Drosophila melanogaster: one gene and its partner. Changing the gene in region 2 together with the main gene of any one other region gives a genetic interaction. Each region holds a gene or a part of one and is shown on either strand. Other genes may lie near its edges. The genes, in order: cathD and CtsB.

Region 1 (5,447 bases), on a different chromosome or scaffold from region 2:
AATAGCCGCTACCTTTGTTTCTAACTGCTTGGTTTGTCAAAAAGCCAAATACGACCGCCATCCGCAAAAGCAAATCCTCGGGAGAACACCTATTCCGTCACATGTAGGCGAGACATTGCATATTGATATATTTTCTACGGACAGGAATTACTTTTTGACATGTATTGACAAATTTTCCAAATTCGCTATTGTGCAACCAATCGGCTCTCGAACGATAACTGATTTAGAACCTGCAATTATGCAACTAATGAACTTTTTTCCCCATTCAAAGACAATATTTTGTGACAATGAACCGTCCATAAATTCCGAGTCAATCAAGTCACTTTTGAAAAATCGTTTTAATGTTGACATAGCGAACGCACCTCCACTTCATAGTACCTCAAACGGACAGGTTGAAAGGTTTCACAGCACGCTTTTAGAAATAGCTCGATGCCTGAAACTTGACAGTGGAATGAATGATACAGTCAACCTTATTCTTCAGGCAACAATAGAATACAATAAGACGGTGCACTCAGTCACCAATAGAAGACCGATCGACATTATTCATTCAACTCCTCCCGAATTGGCTAACGAGATAGTAGAAATGGTTAACGAAGCTCAGGAAAAACAGCTAAGAAGAGAAAATGTAACAAGACGAGACAGAACCTTTGAGGTGGGAGAAACCGTCATGGTAAAACAAAACAATCGCTTGGGAAATAAACTAACCCCACGGTATAGGGAAGAACTAATCGAAGCAGACCTCGGGACAACGGTCCTCATAAAAGGGAGGGTCGTTCATAAAGATAATCTACGCTAGGTTTAGTATTTCTTTTCCTTTTGTGACCATCGCCAAGTTAGCAAAATACAAACGTGAAATCTGAACACTAGTAAAAGAGTTTGCAAACATTTTTCAATTAAATATTTGTCAAATCCTTCTTATTTAATCTTTAAACATTTTGTATTATTTCCGCTTCATCCTCTTTAGAAAATTTTAAAGGTATGTGATGAAATGCTAGACCCGAATGATTTGAAAACTTAAAGTCCACGCAACCACAAATATTTCCTGAAACTACCATAGAAAATAAATGCATTACCAAAACGGCATAATAACAGTATAGCGCACTCACTCTAATTAGATTTCAAATTCCCGATTAAAAAAAAATAAAACACTAATGTTATCAATACCCTTTCCTGATTCTGTTCAACTAAATAGGAAAATCAATACTTGCAATCAATAAGCGTTTTACTACATACTTTAATATCAAAAATATCTGAATGAACTTTATTATAAAATTATAATTGTTATACTTAATTATTGTCAAAACTTTAGTATTAAAACTGTAACTACCTCTTAAGTAGATGAGAAGAGTAGAAGAGGGAATTAAGATCTATCAACGTAGTATCTGCTAAAGACGTAAAGATGCGGCAACTATTTCTGCGCCTGGGTACTGAAACGACGAACTGAATAATATCTGCCATCAGACGCCAACCAGAGTGCGTTCAACACATACGTTTTGATGGTCAACTAGTTCAACCAACATCAGCATCATCGTCGTCAACAAGTCGACGGTTACAATAAAGATTTTTTCCAAGTTCGCTACGATCATCTCCAGAACCTTGTTGCGAACCCATGACATGGAGAATCAGCAGCATTTACGAACTTCTCGGATCATCCAGACACGCAGAGCTGCCTTCCCTTCGATGGTTTAACGCAGTACCAGGTTGGCAGTATGGGAACTTAGTGCACAACCAATGTTACCCGTAAGATCCGCTTTCAAATAGATTTGCCAATTGTAAAAAGTCTGTGGACAGCCTTCGTCTTAGAAGGGGAGGAGTTAACACAATCACAAAACACCCGAAATATAGTCGTAAGCCTCAAGTGCTTTTCCCATCTATAGATCGAGCTTTACCTATAAGAAACTGTAACTTGTTAAGCTTTAGAGATAAGAACTCTTGCTATACTTAAGTTAGTCGATTTTGGAAGATTAGAAGCGTCGGTCATCGCCACGTACTTACTATTCGTCTCATTAAGTGCAGACCGCGCAAGCCCTATTGTAATTAATAAACTTACGCTAATAAATATATGGAAAATCTACTAAAATGATAATTTATATATTATTCTTCGGAGAAACCCGCAATGGGATCGATCGATAATGTTTACAATTTAAATTTTAAGTATACTTTTCTTTGTTCGATTATTTGGCATCGGCGAAGCCCACACGATCGTTGCCCATGTCAAACTCGGTGTAGTATTTGCCAATGAAAACGTCACCGAGGATCCACAAGGGTCCGTTTGGAGGGGGGATGTCCAAGCCCATAAAGCCGGACAGACAGATGGTCTTACCCATCTGGGCCACACGGAGAATATAGTCCTTGCCCTCGAGCTCGAAGGTCTTTCCGCCCAGCACAAACTTGATTACCGGCAATTGGGGAATGAGATCGCAAGAAACCACATACTAAAGTAAGAAATTAAGAGGATTAGCAGTGCTTCATGTGAGAACTTAGAGCATGGTACTCACCTGACCACCGATGATGGGAGTTCCACCAATCTTCTGGTTAATAGAGGTGGCCTCTTCCAAGGGCGCAGCAATTAGTGAGGTACCGGTGTCAGCGATCACCTGGCAACCGCCCTTGCACAGCTGCAAATCGCCAATGGAGGCGGCATCCATCTTGATTTGCCAGTAGGCCTTGCGGGTAACGGGCAAGTAGGTGAATTCACCAGTGTAGTGGTTGGGATCGGAGCCGCCAAAGATGATCTCACCGCCCTCGGGCGAGGCGGGATCGCGATTCAGGTAGAATGAGAACACCGGAGCGGAGATCAAACCCTGTTCGTACATGGCGTAAAATGGCGGCTTCACCTTGTCCACCGAGATGGAGTTGTAGCCCAGGCCTAGGATGCCGTCGAACTTGGCAGCTACGAAGACCAGGCCCGGCTCACTGAGCGCCTCAGCGAATGTCTGATCCTTGATGTCCAGGCCGGCAATGGACACCGTATCCGTGGACAGGTATCCGGACAAGCTGCCCGAGCCATACTGGATGGCGAACTCAGTGCCGTTCTTGGTGTAGGTCTTCGACTTGGAGGCATCGTACTTGTTGTGCATCAAACAGGCGATGTTGGTCAGGTGGCACTTCTTGGACGGCACCCACAAGTTCGAGGAGCCGGTGTCGAAAACCACACGGAAGTTCTGCGGTGGCGAGCCAATGGCAATGGGCCCATAGTACTGCGCGTCCATATAGTTGGACAGCGGTTCCGGCACATCACCTCCGCCGTACCTAATGCGCAATTGCTGCAGCTCCGTGCCCACATCCGCAAAGTGCCGGCGGGCCGACTGAAATTTGTGGAGCGGTACGCGCAGCAATCCGGGCTTCTCCTGCGAATTTGGGTGGGCCACGGCCGCAGCCAGGAAGGCGACTAGAAGCAGTGCAACCTTCTGCATTTTGATTTCTATGTTACGCTTCTCTGGTGGCTAAAACTGCAATGATCGCTGCAGTTAATTAAATATTGCGGCACAGCGAAAATGATTCAGCACAGATAATGTACTAAATTTGGCTTGGCGCGTCGTTTTGATTAGAGAGATTCGATAGTTTTTGTTGTAAACTAATGCAATTCTTTAATTTTCGGAATGTTTCTTTTTAATATTTCGCGTTTATGTATATATAATACAAATGTATCATTATTTCTACACATTTAGGAAGAGCTTGTATCATGACTACGATCTTACTTTAGAGACAATAAGGGAAAGCTAAAAAAGTATTTCCCATCTTTCATTTTTAAACGCTTTTATGAGCAAACAATTAACAATTATGATGAGCAACCTTAATGTATTAATTGATAATATAGATAACAATCGTAAGGAGCGGGTCGAAGCTGAATTTCGAATCTTTACTTGTATATATAAATTCTAATAAATTCATGATAACATGGAATTATATATTAAAATATGAATAGTAAGTTGTATTTTGAGCTTAAATGGTTCAAAAATATTACAAAAATAGTCTTCTTATAGTCACCTAAAATCCAGAGAAATAATTTTATACTATTGATTAAAATGAAATAAAAGTATTAAATATAGATAAAAGATATAGCTAATCCTTTCTAGTACTTTTTACAATCACTTATTACTCGACAAAGTTTGGATTTGACCTTAGCACAGACATCCAAATCGGAGATTAGGTCATCAATGTTCGTTCGGAACGGAGTAACTCTAGCAGTATCCTCGAATGACTGTTTGGCGCGCCGCATTCTTTCGTGAATCTCACTCATATCGAGCATCTTTCCAATAGAAAGCTCATGGTTGGTGGACAACAGTACCGAGAACAGAACGGCGGACTCCATGGAGACTTTGCTTCGATACCCAACGCAGGTTTTCTGCTCCATTTCATCGCTTTCCATGAGCACGGTTTGGCATCTTTTCAGGGAATCGCCTTTCTATAAAAATCGAGCAAAAATTAATATCATACTATTGGATTAAGAGAGTAAGAGATATAAGATTATAATGTGATGTGTAAGTGCCCGGATAACTGCATAAGGATAGATTAAATTAAATTAAAAAAAGGGTACTTATTGTTTATTAACGAAAGCAATTTTAAGTAAATACATTCATATTTATGCATGTACATAGTAAATTGGCATCAAAATTATTCGCCGACAGATATGCTTACCTTAATCTTCTTGATATCTTCAGGTTGGATAAAATGTTTCTGGCGCTGGACTACAAATCGAGCTGCAAGGTCACAATCCGGAGTGTACTGGTAGCCTTGGGCAACGCGCCTGAAGAATGGATGCAGATCCAGAAGCTTAAGGCGTTTTTGGGCCATCTCCGAAAGCTGATAGGTGTCCAGTTGGGGCAGAACTTCGGTTAGGAATAAATGGCACACTTCCTTGGCAGTGAGATCCCTGAAAGCCTCGTTCCTGGTGTTCCACTCCTTCCAGGCTGAAGCATCCTGGATGTAAAACAGACGGCACGACGCAACAGCGTAGTCGATCAACTCCCTGTGGATCGATTGTTCAGCATCGTGCAAAAGCGTAGATCGAGCAATACGGCCGATATTGGCATTAAATTCCGCTTCGTCCACAGTTTCGTCCATTTTCATTCCCAATATAAAACATTTTATTATAAAACAGTAAAGAATCGGTTTAATTTCAACGTGCGCTTTCAGATCTGCACTCTTTTTGTAATCGATAACTGCTGTGTATCGTATGCGGCACTGAGACTATTGAAATCTTAGGGAATGTTTAGGAAATAGGAACATCTGGAGTTAAATGTATTTCAAAACCGAAAGCCACAACTTTCCTTAAAATATTATGCCAAAAAAAAATCTACTAATATAAATTTAAACATAATACTTAATTCTTTATTTATGTTAATTCATAATAATTTCTCTTCCAAGGGAAGTGTATTTGGAGTGCGGCTACTAGCATAATTTTCACTCTCATTGAACAGCTGATAGAGTCGCCATATCGTTAT
Region 2 (4,644 bases):
ATATATATATATATAGATATATAATGTAAACCTACCCAAAATTAAGAGATTTTTAAGCCAACAGTTGAAATTGAAATATGACAAATAACAAGAGTAAACCAATTGAAATGTGGCAGTAACAAATATTTTTCGATGTAAGCTGTTTGTTAGAAAAATATCGAGTTTCGGTGAATAGAAGAGTGGCTACAAAACCAGTCAATCAATTCACAGAAAATCGATAAGAGAAGCGGTTGGTTCATGACAAGATAACAAAAAAAAAACTGAAAATACAAAACAAATGTTCTATTTGATGTTGCAAATGAGAAAAATAAATAAAACATGTTATGTGAATAAATATGTGTACAATTTGAATGGACATTTGGTGCTGCAAATTGTGGGCAGCTTCAACGAGATAAGTTTTACATATGTATGTACATATATGTATGTATGTATGTATGTATGGCCAAGCTAACTAATGTAATAATAAATTAACTCAACAAAATCGCACCAAATGACGAATGCGATTGCAAGCTGTACTCTTTGTTTGATTAATCAAATGCGATGCTAATCACATTTATAACTCGCAAAACATACAGCTAGCCAGTTTAACGATTGAACGATTGACGGCGTTCCATTTAAATGTGTGTACATAGTATAGAGGATCAGATACTCTCTACTATTAATCTCTACTATTAAATAAAAAAGGCATAGCTACGCTAAACAATAGTTTATAGTTGGATAGTTATAGCATTGTTTCACAAATAGTATTATTCGCTTTTAATTATATCTGAGTTCCAGTTTGATAATCATTTTCTTTTTTTTGTTTGCCTTGTTTCTAGTTAGAGAGGTCCCACTGTATACGAGCAAAGTACAGTTCCACAGTCATATACAATACTTTATTATCAATCAGGTTTAGGTTGTTTACATTAACTACAAACGTCAGTTGCGAATCGGAATGAAAATAAAAGGAGGGATGATAGAAAATAGAGGGGTTTTGATATATCAGCTTGATGCCGGAATACATATAACATTTACAGCTTGGGCAGACCCGCCGAAATGGAGCTCTCGATGCCGCAATGATCCTGGCCACGCAGGATGCGGAAGAAACCATGATCGCCCCAATCGGTGTTCCACGAGTTACCAATTAGCCAGTACGGAATCTTCTCCTCGCCCCAAACGCCCCAGCCCAAAATGCGAATGGCATGACCGCCCAGCTCCTTGCCATGCTCGTGCTGATAGACACCGTCCTTGTACAGAATGAGATCCTCATAAACGGTGAAGGCGCCCTCAACCGGTCCATTGGTCATGATCTCCTCCTGAATTTCACGCACATTACGCCTCACCGAGTACGACTTGGAGCCGAAGTGCTTGTCCTTGGCATAATCGACGGTGTAACCGCTCTGGCAGACGTGCGAACACTTGGGCGTTCTACCGCCATGGGCACATGGTGGTCGGGTTCCATTCACATGGTGCTCACAGGGAGAAATCTCGTAAGGACGGCAGCCCTGCAAAATAAGTGCATATTAGAATCGTTTTTTCTTCTGTTTGCCTTACTATATCTGGGAAATGAGTTAGTAGCAGCTAAAACTTATCGTTGAGGATGTACGCGAATCTGGAGTGCATTCACAATATATGCATGTATATCTATAGATGTTCGTATATGATATATATACATATAGCTTTGTGTATATGGATGTTTGTATATGATATACTAAGCCGCTTTCTAGCGATATCTGTGGTATACAATTTTTTATGGCGTCGTAAACTGAGTCTTCAGTTCACTTCAAGTAAACAAAGAACAAAATCAAGTTGCTTTCTAACTATTTCGGCGTAGAAATACAATATGTACAAATACAGGTTATTTTTGCACATAAAGTATGTTTTTCTTCGTTAGAAAACAAACCCTTTTTTTTATTGGAAACTCATCTGCAAGCAAAACCAAATTGCAAGCCCTTTTAAACCAAACTAAATATGATTTGCAAAATCCCATTAAAGCAGGAGAAGATCACCAACCTGATTAGATCCGTAGGGTCCTCCGCTGACGATTCCCTTGCGCGTCCAGTAGCTCCAGGCGGCGCCGGGGAAACCGCCATTGCAGCCAAATCCGCAGGTGTGGCAGCAGGAGACGAGATCATCGGCCGAAAAGTGGAAATTCACCTTGCCGCCGGAATGGATGCACACCTGCCCATTGCGAAATCAGTAAAAAAAAAAAAATCATTGATAACAAATACAAAAAGAAAATAATAATAAAAAAAAATGGGGAAATTTATCAGCTGGACAAACAAAGAATGGAAGGGGTTATAATATCGATAAGGTAAGCTACGTACGCGATCGGACATGGCTTCCACGGCACCAAAGGCCCAGCAGGAGCCGCATGAACCCTGGTCGCGAATCTCGCCAATGGTTGGGCAGTTTGGCCATTGCTTGCGGGAATCGAACTCTTCGGGAAGTTCGTCAACGCTATTCACGTATAGATCGCCAAGAACTTCACGCTTGTCGGGCAGTGCGAACTTGTGCGCATCCGGATGGACGCCCATCAGGCGGCGAATATGTCCCTCCGTTACGGATGCATCGAAATTGCGACCCACCTGGCGGATAGGAAACGGGAAAATGCAATTTTCTTGTCACGTCAGCAAGAAAAGGGTTGGAAACAAAGGAATTTACCGTCCAGGTTTTGGCCTTACTGCGCACCACCTCGATGAACTCATCCGAGAGCAGTGACGGCTCACCGGACGTGAGTGCCGCCACGGAGGCCGCGGTGGCCACCAGGAGCAATAGATTCATTATTCTTGTCCAACGAATTTCCAATGCGCTGACACAGCAAAATTCAAACAAATCACAGCAGTAAAATGGTGGAAAATGACGCGTCGTATTAAGCGGGCTCTCTGCTCCGTTCTTGTTTTCGTACTGCCCGTGAAATTCGGACGGGTAATGCTCTTTAAGCGTCTATTATTCTCTTGTTTTTGTTCTGTCGCACAAAAAAAAAAAAAAATGGTTCGCGCCCGCTGATTACGCGGCCAGTGTGTGCACACCAATGCAACAGGGCCGTTGCCTATCGAATGTAGAGATGGGCGCGTGATTGGTAACTAGTCTGAAATAAATAAACGCATTATACTAAATAGCACTTCACTAAATGTACTTAACTAAAGACTACGATCACACTAATGCCAATAAATATGCTAAGGAGCACTGTTACTTGAAAGGTGGTTTATTTGCATTTATTTATTTCCATTCGTTGTCGTGGTGCTTAAAATCAGAACTATCGGTAGGCCATCGCAGATAACAGAGCTCTGTTAGCTGTGCTAAGGTGTGGCCACACTGGCTAGCTATATTTTGATAAGGAGCTCGCAAAGATGCGGATTTTCTACGGACTACTGGCGTTCCTGGTGGCCAGACAACACGATGCCCAAGCGATACAGGCACGCAGCGACAAGGAGCAGCCGCAGACTGTGGTCTCCGGCACGGCGGTGCAATCGGTGGTGCCCGTTCAGGCGCAACTGGGCTCCGGCATGGGACCCTCCTCATCGTCATCTTCGGCATCTTCCGCCTCGGGCGGAGCTGGAAACTCGGCCTTCTATCCACTGGGACCGAATGTGATGTGCTCGTTTCTGCCGCGCGACTTTCTCGATTGCAAGGATCCCGTCGATCATCGGGAGAACGCCACGGCGCAGCAGGAAAAGAAATACGGATGCCTGAAGTTCGGTGGTTCCACGTACGAAGAGGTGGAGCACGCCATGGTCTGGTGCACCGTGTTTGCCGACATCGAGTGCTACGGTAATCGCACCTTTCTGCGCGCCGGAGTGCCCTGTGTCCGCTACACGGATCACTACTTTGTGACCACACTGATCTACAGCATGCTGCTGGGTTTCCTCGGTATGGATCGCTTCTGTCTCGGTCAAACGGGCACGGCTGTGGGCAAACTGCTTACCATGGGCGGCGTGGGCGTTTGGTGGATCATCGACGTCATCCTCCTGATCACCAACAATTTGCTGCCCGAGGACGGCAGCAATTGGAATCCCTATGTCTAGACGTGTGTGATATGCCTCTGTGTCATAGCTTTAAGTAGTTAAATAAGATTAATCTTGTTCACTGATTAATTCGTAGTGTTAGGAAATTAAATTAACTTGCCCCTTATTTCATTATAAATACCTTTGTTATAAAATCATTGAAATTAATAATTTCATACATATCTATTAGATGTAAAGTAAGGATAAATAAATATTTAGAAGTACAGTTAAATAGTTTTTATATGCCTAAGACAATCAAATGACTGCCTCTTAAACCAATTGTTTTTTTAGCTTACACCAAAACTACAGCTTTGATCCGTGCAAAAATGCCCGCATAGCATCAAAAGGGACGTTTTGACTTTGCACAATCGTTTTTATTTTTAATTTTAAAGTATATTTTGTTCAATTCGAATGTAGCGCCACAGCTGTTCCAAAATTTGTTCAGTGGATCCATTGCATTTCCGACAGCTGCTTTCCATTGGGCTATCGTTATCGTATGATGGCTATCGTCCTTCGCCATCGGGAAATGGAAATCGAAAGTTTCGCGTTCAAACTCGAAAGTCAGTTGCAAGAAAGCTCGCCAACCGCGCGGTCAACGGAGACTGGCTGAGCTGAGCGGGCGCTTTCTCTTTTATTTTTCTCCATTGACGACGCTGCG

Evidence for each region.
Region 1: of CtsB (region 2) and cathD, changing one enhances a phenotype caused by changing the other (phenotypic enhancement), as found in Drosophila melanogaster (one study listed by BioGRID).

The regions. Positions count from the first base shown.
Region 1 is NT_033778.4:7,820,051-7,825,497, forward strand, and holds the start of cathD (cathepsin D), read right to left. Parts: upstream 3,520-5,447; 5' UTR 3,417-3,519; coding exon 2,499-3,416; intron 2,436-2,498; coding exon 2,175-2,435; 3' UTR 2,061-2,174; intron 1-2,060. Other genes in the region: CG30383 (uncharacterized protein), read right to left, coding at 4,076-4,408, 4,642-5,073.
Region 2 is NC_004354.4:13,779,167-13,783,810, forward strand, and holds CtsB (cathepsin B), read right to left. Parts: upstream 3,005-4,644; 5' UTR 2,764-3,004; coding exon 2,644-2,763; intron 2,568-2,643; coding exon 2,307-2,567; intron 2,161-2,306; coding exon 1,993-2,160; intron 1,485-1,992; coding exon 1,011-1,484; 3' UTR 681-1,010; downstream 1-680. Other genes in the region: amrt (amaretto), read left to right, coding at 3,333-4,007.